Linked DNA regions of Neurospora crassa OR74A. The protein of the gene in region 2 interacts with the protein of the main gene of each other region in a biochemical or structural test. Links are inferred from orthologs where the notes say so. Each region holds a gene or a part of one and is shown on either strand. Other genes may lie near its edges.

Evidence for each region.
Region 1: the proteins of NCU00725 (region 2) and NCU04121 form a complex in vitro, tested with the Saccharomyces cerevisiae proteins (2 studies listed by BioGRID). The link is inferred for Neurospora crassa OR74A from reciprocal best matches to the Saccharomyces cerevisiae genes ENT3 and APL4.

The regions. Positions count from the first base shown.
Region 1 is NC_026505.1:4,912,578-4,916,903, reverse strand, and holds the start of NCU04121 (AP-1 complex subunit gamma-1), read right to left. Parts: upstream 2,834-4,326; 5' UTR 2,532-2,833; coding exon 2,522-2,531; intron 2,437-2,521; coding exon 2,313-2,436; intron 2,244-2,312; coding exon 2,055-2,243; intron 1,994-2,054; coding exon 1-1,993. UniProt on the Saccharomyces cerevisiae protein: Adaptins are components of the adapter complexes which link clathrin to receptors in coated vesicles. Clathrin-associated protein complexes are believed to interact with the cytoplasmic tails of membrane proteins, leading to their selection and concentration.
Region 2 is NC_026501.1:7,405,065-7,409,505, reverse strand, and holds NCU00725 (epsin-3), read right to left. Parts: upstream 2,894-4,441; 5' UTR 2,669-2,893; coding exon 2,587-2,668; intron 2,511-2,586; coding exon 2,479-2,510; intron 2,373-2,478; coding exon 2,293-2,372; intron 2,225-2,292; coding exon 853-2,224; 3' UTR 557-852; downstream 1-556. Other genes in the region: csr-1 (peptidyl-prolyl cis-trans isomerase), read left to right, coding at 4,175-4,314, 4,409-4,441. UniProt on the Saccharomyces cerevisiae protein: Involved in the recruitment of clathrin to the Golgi network and endosomes to form clathrin coated vesicles. Plays a role in the trafficking of clathrin between the Golgi network and endosomes.

The DNA.
Region 1 (4,326 bases), on a different chromosome or scaffold from region 2:
AAGCGGACCGCCAGGGAACGAGTTGCGGAAGCGAGCCGTAGCCTGGATCATGCCTTCGGCATTTCGCTGTATTTGGATGGTGACGTTCAGTCCGTTGTTGTCGTAGCAAGCATGGCCGGCCGCAGCAGCGGGCTTGGGCGCCGCTTGAGGAGCCGGAGCCGAAGCGGCGGCCGGAGTGGTGTTGAAGAGATCAAGGACTGCTGATGGAGCAGCCGCTGGTGCAGGTGCGGGAGACGGAGTGGAGGTAGGTCCCTGCGAAAAGAGATCCATGATCGAGGCAACGTTTGACTGTGCGGGAGCCGGCGAGGCCGAGGTCGGAGGCGAAGTGGTGCCGCCGAGAATATCGGCAAGGAGGTCGGCATTGTTCGTCCCGCCGTTGGGAACAGAAGGAGACGGGAGATTGGTGTCTCCCATGAGGTCGAATAAGAGATCCTCTTCCTTGGGCTTGGCAGCCTTGTTAGTCTTCTTGCCCGCCGCCTTGGTGGTCTTCTTGGCAGCTTCACCAAGTACTCGGGAGGACTCCTTGATTTGAGGAGGAGGCATCTTCTCAAGCACACCACGACGGATCTGATCAAAAGAAAACAGGTTGCCGTATTCCACCGCACGCTGTTGAACTTCGACATCCAGACTTGTCTGGTGGTACTGAAGCAGACGGCGAACTCTCTCGATTTGGGTTGCGTCTTGCAGCCTAGTGGTGAGCTTGATGAGTGCCGTGATGATGTACTCGGTGGTGACTTGGGTAGCGTAGTTGCTGTTCAAGATGGTTGTGAACAAGTCGATAAGTTCATGCTCCTTGACCTCCTGTACGAGCTCCTCCTCCTCATACTGACCACCCCTGAGAAGAGCGTCGCCATATTCACCGATGCACCACGCGCCGGCCTGCGTCAGACTTTCTTGGGTGATATCCTTCTTCAAGTTGGTGTAAAGCTTTTGCACGGCGTACGTTTGTAGCTCGGGAGTCGTAGCGATAAGGCGAATGAACGAGGACAGGATGGGCTCCTTGACGTAGTTACCGGCCAACGTCAAGACACGGAGCATCGTATCGACATGCCACCTCTTGTTCGGGGCGTACCTATCAGCGGCGATACCGATCTGGCTAGTCATATTAGGCTTAAACTCATTATCCGCCACTTCCAGGAAAGCCAACAATTCTCGGATAAGGACGCGGACGTTGCTCTCGTTGATTAGGGTGAAACTCAGATCAAGAGCTCTCCTCCTGATACTGATGTCGGGGTCCCTAAGGCACTCCAAAATGGTGTTCCGGTGTCTTTGTACAGCGTTGGTGTCGATGGCCACCACCTTGACCAGCGTGTTTAGCGCAACATAACGGATATTGTTGTCCTTGTTAGCCAAGAACTTGCCGAGGATGTTGACTCCCAGCACGCGCAAGCCGGCATCGGCCTCGATATCGAGAATCGTCAGTACGGCCTCGTAAAGGATCGAGTTGCCAACGTTCTTAGTAGCGTCGGTGTTGGTCGCAACCTGAGCGAGGATATCGTTGATCTGCTCCGTAGTCTGAGCATCGCCGCGGGCCAGGACTCGGAGAAGGCGCAAAATCTTGACCTGCAAGAACGGGTCGGTGATGCCCGTAACGTCGTGCTCCGGCGCATAACCGGAAGAAGCCAGTCCTTTGAGAGTCCTCACGAGTACCGGCACGAACTGCCTGAACTTCTCAATGATGCCCTCTTCCCCACCCTCGGCCTCGTCAGCTTCACAAAGGCTGGTCACCAATGTCAAGCCGCAAAGCAACACGCCATGGTTGCGATCCGATAGTAATTGCGCCGCCTTCTCGACAAAGTGTTCTTGGAGATCCGGGACCTTTTTGCATATGCGCATCGCACACAGAGCTGCCTTGCGCCGGATGTATGGGTTTGTCGTCGATATAAGTGTTTCGATTTGGGGAAACAGGTCTCTAGACATCTCGACCGATGCGATGTTTCCGAGGGTGCAGAGGGCGAGGCCCACCACATACTGATTCGAATGGTTAAGATCACTGTCGAGCCGAGCGTCAGCATCACGTTGCGCACCCATAATCGTCTTCCTGGGCACCATACTTTTGCAATGAGTTGGTAACCAGAGTAAGCACTTCCTGGTTTTCGTCGAGCAGCAAACTTGTCGCGAGATGGCCCAGACGCTTGTCGGCGAAGCGCGGAGAGGCCAGGAGCTTCAAACACTCGATCTGACCGAAGTGAGTGCGCTCACCGAGGGTGAAGAGGTATAATAGCTTGGCCACATTGTTGCGCCTGCAATGACACAGTTGATCAGCAAACCGAGATCCCGGGGAAGCTTGGGTATTGGCAGCTCAGATGCACCTGACGCTGTGATCGTGGCTCTCCTCCCTGAAGCTGGCCCTTATGGCGGCGCTCTCTTTCTGGATTACGGCTCTCTCGTCGGCGATGGTCTTTGCGGCTCGGACATTGCGAATAAACTGCTTGACTGTTTGCCGATTACAAGCGTCAGTTTTGGCCTCGTCCTGGTCGCTCGAGGCTTGGGACCATGGCGATGCCGGTGGCTCACTTACGGGAACTCATGGCGATGCAATCATTAGGGGCCCGCAAGGGGGCCTGTCTAGGGGATCTGGACCAGAGAGGAAGTGGTAGCGGATGCTTGAGCTCTCGAGATGGCGGGGGAGCTGCGGAACGGAGAGCGGATGGCGGTTCTTTGGAATTTCAAGCAAGGGGTATCCGAAGAAAGTAGAGGCACGCAATGGACAAAGTTACGATACGGTAAAGCAGCGGTACGTAGACATTCATGAGAGAGGATCATCTTTTTGGGAACCCGGCCGAAACACGACAAGTGGAAGCCCAGCACACAATGGGCGGGCGTGCGATGTGGCCATGGAATGCGCTTATTGGAGCTCCTCTTGACCGTGTGTGTCCACCCCCCACCTTGACTTGACCTCTCCCAGCCCGCTCCCAGCCCCAGGCAGACGGTGACGGTCAGCACCACGGCAGCAGTAGATACCTAGGTAGGTACACTAGAGGTAGGTACTACAGTACTGGGACTCGTGGCCTCAGGCAGGCACCTCTCTGCTGCAAAGCTTCCCGGCAACGACGCGACGGCAGGCGCCAAACTCTCTGAAAAGCATGGACCTCAGGGACCCTGGACAGGTCACGGTGCTGTTCCTCAGCTGCGATGCAACGACTCGGTACGGCGGGAAGGTGGGGCCTAGACCGTCTTGTCAGGCACCCTGACGGCCTCGCCGGAAAAGGGGTAATCAGGGTTAGGGTCAAAATGATGAATGTCCTGTCCGAGACCAGCCACAGCATCAGACATTGCTCTTCTTGATACCTACGTAGGGCGGCCTTATCTTGTCACCGCTTAGATCTGTGAGGATGAAAGATGAATAAGAGCATGAGTTCCGTCAAGATTTGCATGAGACGCCGGCGATTTGTTGAAGAAGGAAGGCTAAACACATGTAAAGCTTGTTCAAGTCCTGAAGAAAAGTTAATAGGCTACTCATCATCACCGTCAGTGCTGATTCTGTACTGGACCAGTCCTGAACACATCGAGCATGAGGGCGACAGCAATGCTTAACTATTTGCTTTTCAACAAGACAGCAATGAGCGTTTGTCAACTGACAAGCTCGGCCATATGACAATTGACTGTGCGAATACTGTATCATCGAGCTTCAGTTTTGGGGAACATGCGGTTCATCTATGGTCACAATACTGATGAAATTGACGAGGGCATCACAAGCAGCAAACAGCCTCAGCGCAACCTACAGCCATCACTGACCGACAATGACCTGATCCTCCATACATCAACGGTGATCGGGAGATGAGTTGATTTTCTAGATGCTGTGCCGTACGGATGTGTACGATATGGAAATCCCTATAGGGCTGATGATATCCACATATTCGGCCTGGGCTTGATGGTTGATGTCGCTAGGCAACACTGCCACAATCATCCTGCAGGTCATCCCCACTCGTTGACAGGTCTCCGGTCTTGCTGGTGGTCCCTGATGACGTGAACTCAGCAGCTGTGCATTTGAAAAGTTTATGTAGCAAACAGTAGGGTTTCATCTGAACCTCCGGACGGAAGTGCTCCTTTGCTCATGTGGTACAGCTTCCACTTGGGAGACAACACCGTGGGTAATGGCTCCTCACTAGCAAAGGCGGAGTAAGATTTGATTGATAACTGCTTTGGAGACGAACCGCCACGGACACAAAGTCAAACGGAGAGAAACTTGAGGTGCTAGCGTCAATCCATGTCAACTTCACCCCATTGCTTCCCGAACTCGGTGGTTTGAGGCAGGAGGAGAGGTAACAGTCCAGCATAACGCGCAACCACGAGAACACAGGTGATCCTTGCATAACATACCAA
Region 2 (4,441 bases):
TGCGCTTTGGTGCTCGTAGTCATTAATCATTTTGGTGGTAATGACTGATCGACTGTTGAGGTTGTGATCGGTGGGTCGAGGGTGTTCGAGGCTGGCCTTGCGCCGTCATACCGAGCCGAGGGCGAGTGCGGAGGCTTGAGTCACTGGACACATACTTTGCGATCCATGAACTCACTATTGGATGAAGTATTCTAGCTCATGTTGATGGACTGCATGTTGGGATGATGCTCCAGCCTTACGGTTGTTCAAACCATTCGAGGAGGCTGATATGCCAGAAAAATAAAGACAGACGGAAAAGGGGGGGGGGGGGGGGGGGGGGGGGGGGGGTTGAGGGGGTTCACCAGTTCATAACGGGCCAGAAGTGAAGCCAATAAAGAAGGCAAGGAGCTTCAGTGGTAAAAGTTCCATCAAACGAACATCAGGGATGGAAGCTATGCGAATTCCACAAGATAAAACAACAGATCGACCGCAACATCGGGTTACTTGACCATGAGCGACTCAACAGCCGGCTTGGGTCTTCTGGAATTGTGAAGGTGAGGATGAGTGTATACGGGGACTTAAGTTACGGATCAGTTCACTCTTTGAGGGACTCGCACGCGGAAACAAAACGTGACAAACACAAAGAAGCCGAATGCAGCATAAATAGACGTGAAATTTTGTTGCAGACGAGAGGCGCTGCAAGATACCCACCCCTACCTCCAATAACATTACGTGGAATATAAATCGTTTAACTGCTCATCTCCTCTTTGTGTAACTGCACACCCTTGATCTACTCCAAGGATCCCGCTTCCGTAAGTAGACGACAGCGGTTCTAAATACTCCTTGGAAAACTCCTCACACCCAGTCAGGTAATTAACCGAGCAGATCGTCCAACCCGTGGTTGCCGCCAGTGGTGGGCCTGCTACCGCTGGTCGGAGTGGAGGGCGCAGGAGTTCCCCAAATACCAGCACTACTCTTCTCTTTGGCCAGTTGTCCGATAGCCGGACCCTTGGTGGTAGGCGTGCTCTTCTTGATTCCAGCACTAGCCTGCGACCACAGCGCACCGAAGGCGTCACCGCCAGCGGCTGGCTTGGAGGCAGCTGAACCGGTTGCCTTGGTTCCTGAAAGCGAGGACCCGGTGGACTGGGTCTGCAGCTGTACCGGGGAAAAGTAGTTTGGCTGACCGGCTTGGAAGCCAGTTGGCTTGGGAGCCTGGGAGACGGGCGAAAGGGGCGTGGAGAAAGCCGAGAAGTTGGCAGCAGGAGTCGCCGTGGAGCTGGGAGGAGGAGAGATGGAGGAGAGGGCAACCATGCCGCTAAGGTTGGCCTGCTGAGGCGCCGAAACTGGTTGCGGGGCAACAAACTGTGTGCCAGTAGAGAGGGGGGCGATTGGGGGAGAAATTGCAGAAGCAGGCTGCGTGGCGGGGGCTGCAGACTGGAAATCATCGAACTCGTCGTCGTCGTCTTTGGCGCCGCCGGCTAGAGCCGCAAGCCCAGAGCCGTTGGAAGGTGCGGCAGCGAGGGGCGCGGTCGGGATGGATGGCGCTGCGGGCTCGTCGAAGGAAAACAAGTCGATCTCGGGCTCCTTTTTCTTGGGCGGCTCGGCGGGTGCTGTTGTTTTCTTGACCCCGGCTCTTTCTGTCGTGGATCGTGGTGTCCTTGGCGCGGTACGAGACGACGCCTCAGCGTCCAAATCACCTGCATCGTATTCCTCAAACTGCTCTGCCCGTGCCTGGGTCCCGCGGTAGTCGTTGTTGGAAGGCTGGCCACCAAAAACACCTCCGTCGCCATAAACTCCTCCAGAATAGCCACCGTAGGTAGAGCTGCTACCACCGCCACCACTGCTGCTACCGCCATACGAAGTGTTGCCGAAACCGCCATAACGTCCGCTGCTCCCGCTGGAGAAGCTCATTCCACCCGAAATGCCCGTGAACTTGCCCTTGTTTGCGCGGGCCTTCTTGCGCTCTGCTCGGATACGCTCGACATCGCTGAGGAGCTCGGCGAGTTCCTTGGCGCGGTTGCGGACGTTGATACCCTGGTCTTTGCCGTTCTGGTCGATAAAATGGAACTGGCGCAGCATCTTGAGGAGGGTAAGATGCGACCGAGCATCGTCCACCACTCGTTCGGAACCGTGCTTAATCAGGTACTCTAGTAGTTGAAGGGCCTTGTAGATCTGGCGCCATTCTTCGGCGGACTTTTCTGTGAAACGGCGGTAAATCATGGGCATGATTTCGTTGAGTGTTTGGCTAAGAACAAGGAGGGAAACGCAAGTTAGCCGCGTTCGTATACAAGCGAGCAGTTCTCGAGAACGTACTAGTTGAAGGTGCCATCGGCGATCTCTTGCATCAAAGTCGACGATGCACCCCAAGGTTCATTGTTGGTGGCCTCGCGCACCTGGGTTCGCTGTCAGCTCCCGTTCCATGGTCTCTTGTCTGGGATCAAGTATATGGCGAAGGGCGCAAGAGAATGGTGCCAGTGTGGCGCGTGGATACGGGCATACCTTGGACTCCATCTCGGTATAGTTCATGACAGCTGGTTGGAGCCATTGTCAGCACCCTGAACACGAAATCATGAGGGAGTCTTGGTTCTGGACTAGGTGGTCACCTACCATTTTGAACCTTTCGTACGCCAGCCTTGATGTCGTAGAGTGTCAGGTTGGACACGGTATCCTTGAGGCTATTGAAATCCATTGCGTAAACGTGTCTATCGCCGGAGTTGCTGGGAATTGTTCTGATGGGCTAAGGTAATTCTTCTCTAGATCCAATCTGAGCCTCGCGGTGATGATTGCCAGACGGGCGGGATGCTGTGGCGACTTGGTGGTTTTTGTTCGGGCTGATCGCTTTCAGGGCGACGTTTCACGGTCTTGTCGGGATCAGATGGACATTGAGGTGGCCTAGCGTCAGGGTGCCGCTGAGCGCTGACCTCAACTGACGCCGTCCAAGGCCGACCCCTGCGCTTGACCCAACACCCTGACACCAAGAAGCCAGTGGAACCCAGGAGGTCTGCCAAGACTTTGAAAGCTTGGCACGAGCGTCTCAGCTCTTTGAAGCCTGAGTTTTCAGGCAAGAATTCTGCTTGTAATTGCCGGGCCGGCCGACAACGCGGGGCGGCGGGAGGGGACGCTCGGCCGCCGGAGCTCGCTTCCATGCATTTTGGATGGAGTAAAAATTGTTAAACACCCGACCCGACTCCGTTCTCCCTCTCGTCTCAGGTCTTTGTTGTGCATCCATCGCCGTGTAGCAGATTTCCATCGTTCGTTTGTTCGGACTTTACCTTGTACTTTTAGCTTCATTATCATCCTACAATCATCCAGGATTTCATCTTCCACAACCGGTACGTTATCATTTTTACTTTTGTTGCCATGTTCTTCTTGAGCCTTTTCTGTCTAGAGGAGCTCTCCCTGCCGGCTGGGAGCTTGCCCAAAGCTCCAAGCTCTATCTGTGGCAGAGCTCTGAGAGCTTCCATTCCCGGGATTTCTTGGCATCAGATTCAATTCGAATGTCCTTTTTTCCATCCACGCTCGAGATGAGGGGTGAGGTTTGTTAGTTTGACAATACCACCACCGCCTTTTGGTCCCTACCCCAGACATGGCCATCAAGGTCGTTAATGCCGTCCATCCCTCTTGTTCGGCTTGGGGTATCGTCCATGGCTCCGCAATGTCGTCAATGGCTGCATTGACAGAGGGGGACTCCAAATGAAAGAGGCAATCGCAACGCTATGAAGACCCAACAAGCCATATGATGGAGCCATGGGTCTACGGTCCTTTGGCCCGGATGTCTTTGGATAGCTCTTGCCAGCGCTTTAGCTGCCAACTATACACACACGGGTGGTGGCAGTTTTGATTGTCATTGCCGTCAGCGTCAGGGCCGACGGGACCTTGGAGACTCGGGGGGGAAGCGCCAACACCAGATGGCAGCTGTTTACTTGTTCGTACTGGTGTTCCTGAGCCAACGAACCAATCCGAAGCCCACATGCGCCAAAGATGACACTTGCAGAGGCTCATACCACTCCACGTTGTCAAGCTGACCTGCTGTTTCGTCGTCTCCCGCCGCACTGGCAAACGAGACCGAAACAGGCGGCGTGGCGACAGGCCGACAGCTCGAGTCGCAACAATCAATCACGTGGCGAGCAGCTACGTACCTTCTCCGCCCCCCACTTCTCGGATTGGCTGACCCCTCCTTTCCATTTTAGTGAAAATGTTTGGACCCCGCCATTTCTCTGTCCTTAAGACAACAGGTTCTCTCGTCTCCTCGACTTTCTCGTCATCTCTCAAGCCCACTGCAACTTTCTCCTGCGCCAGAGCTTTTTCGCAAACATCCAGCATCATGTCCAAGGTGTAAGTCCAGCCGCTTCTCCAGGTCCGCGCAAACATGGGAGCTGCGCCTACCTACCCGTAGCTTCAGGGACACCGACTGACCTGCATGCTTTAGTTTCTTCGATCTCGAGTGGGAGGGTCCCGTCCT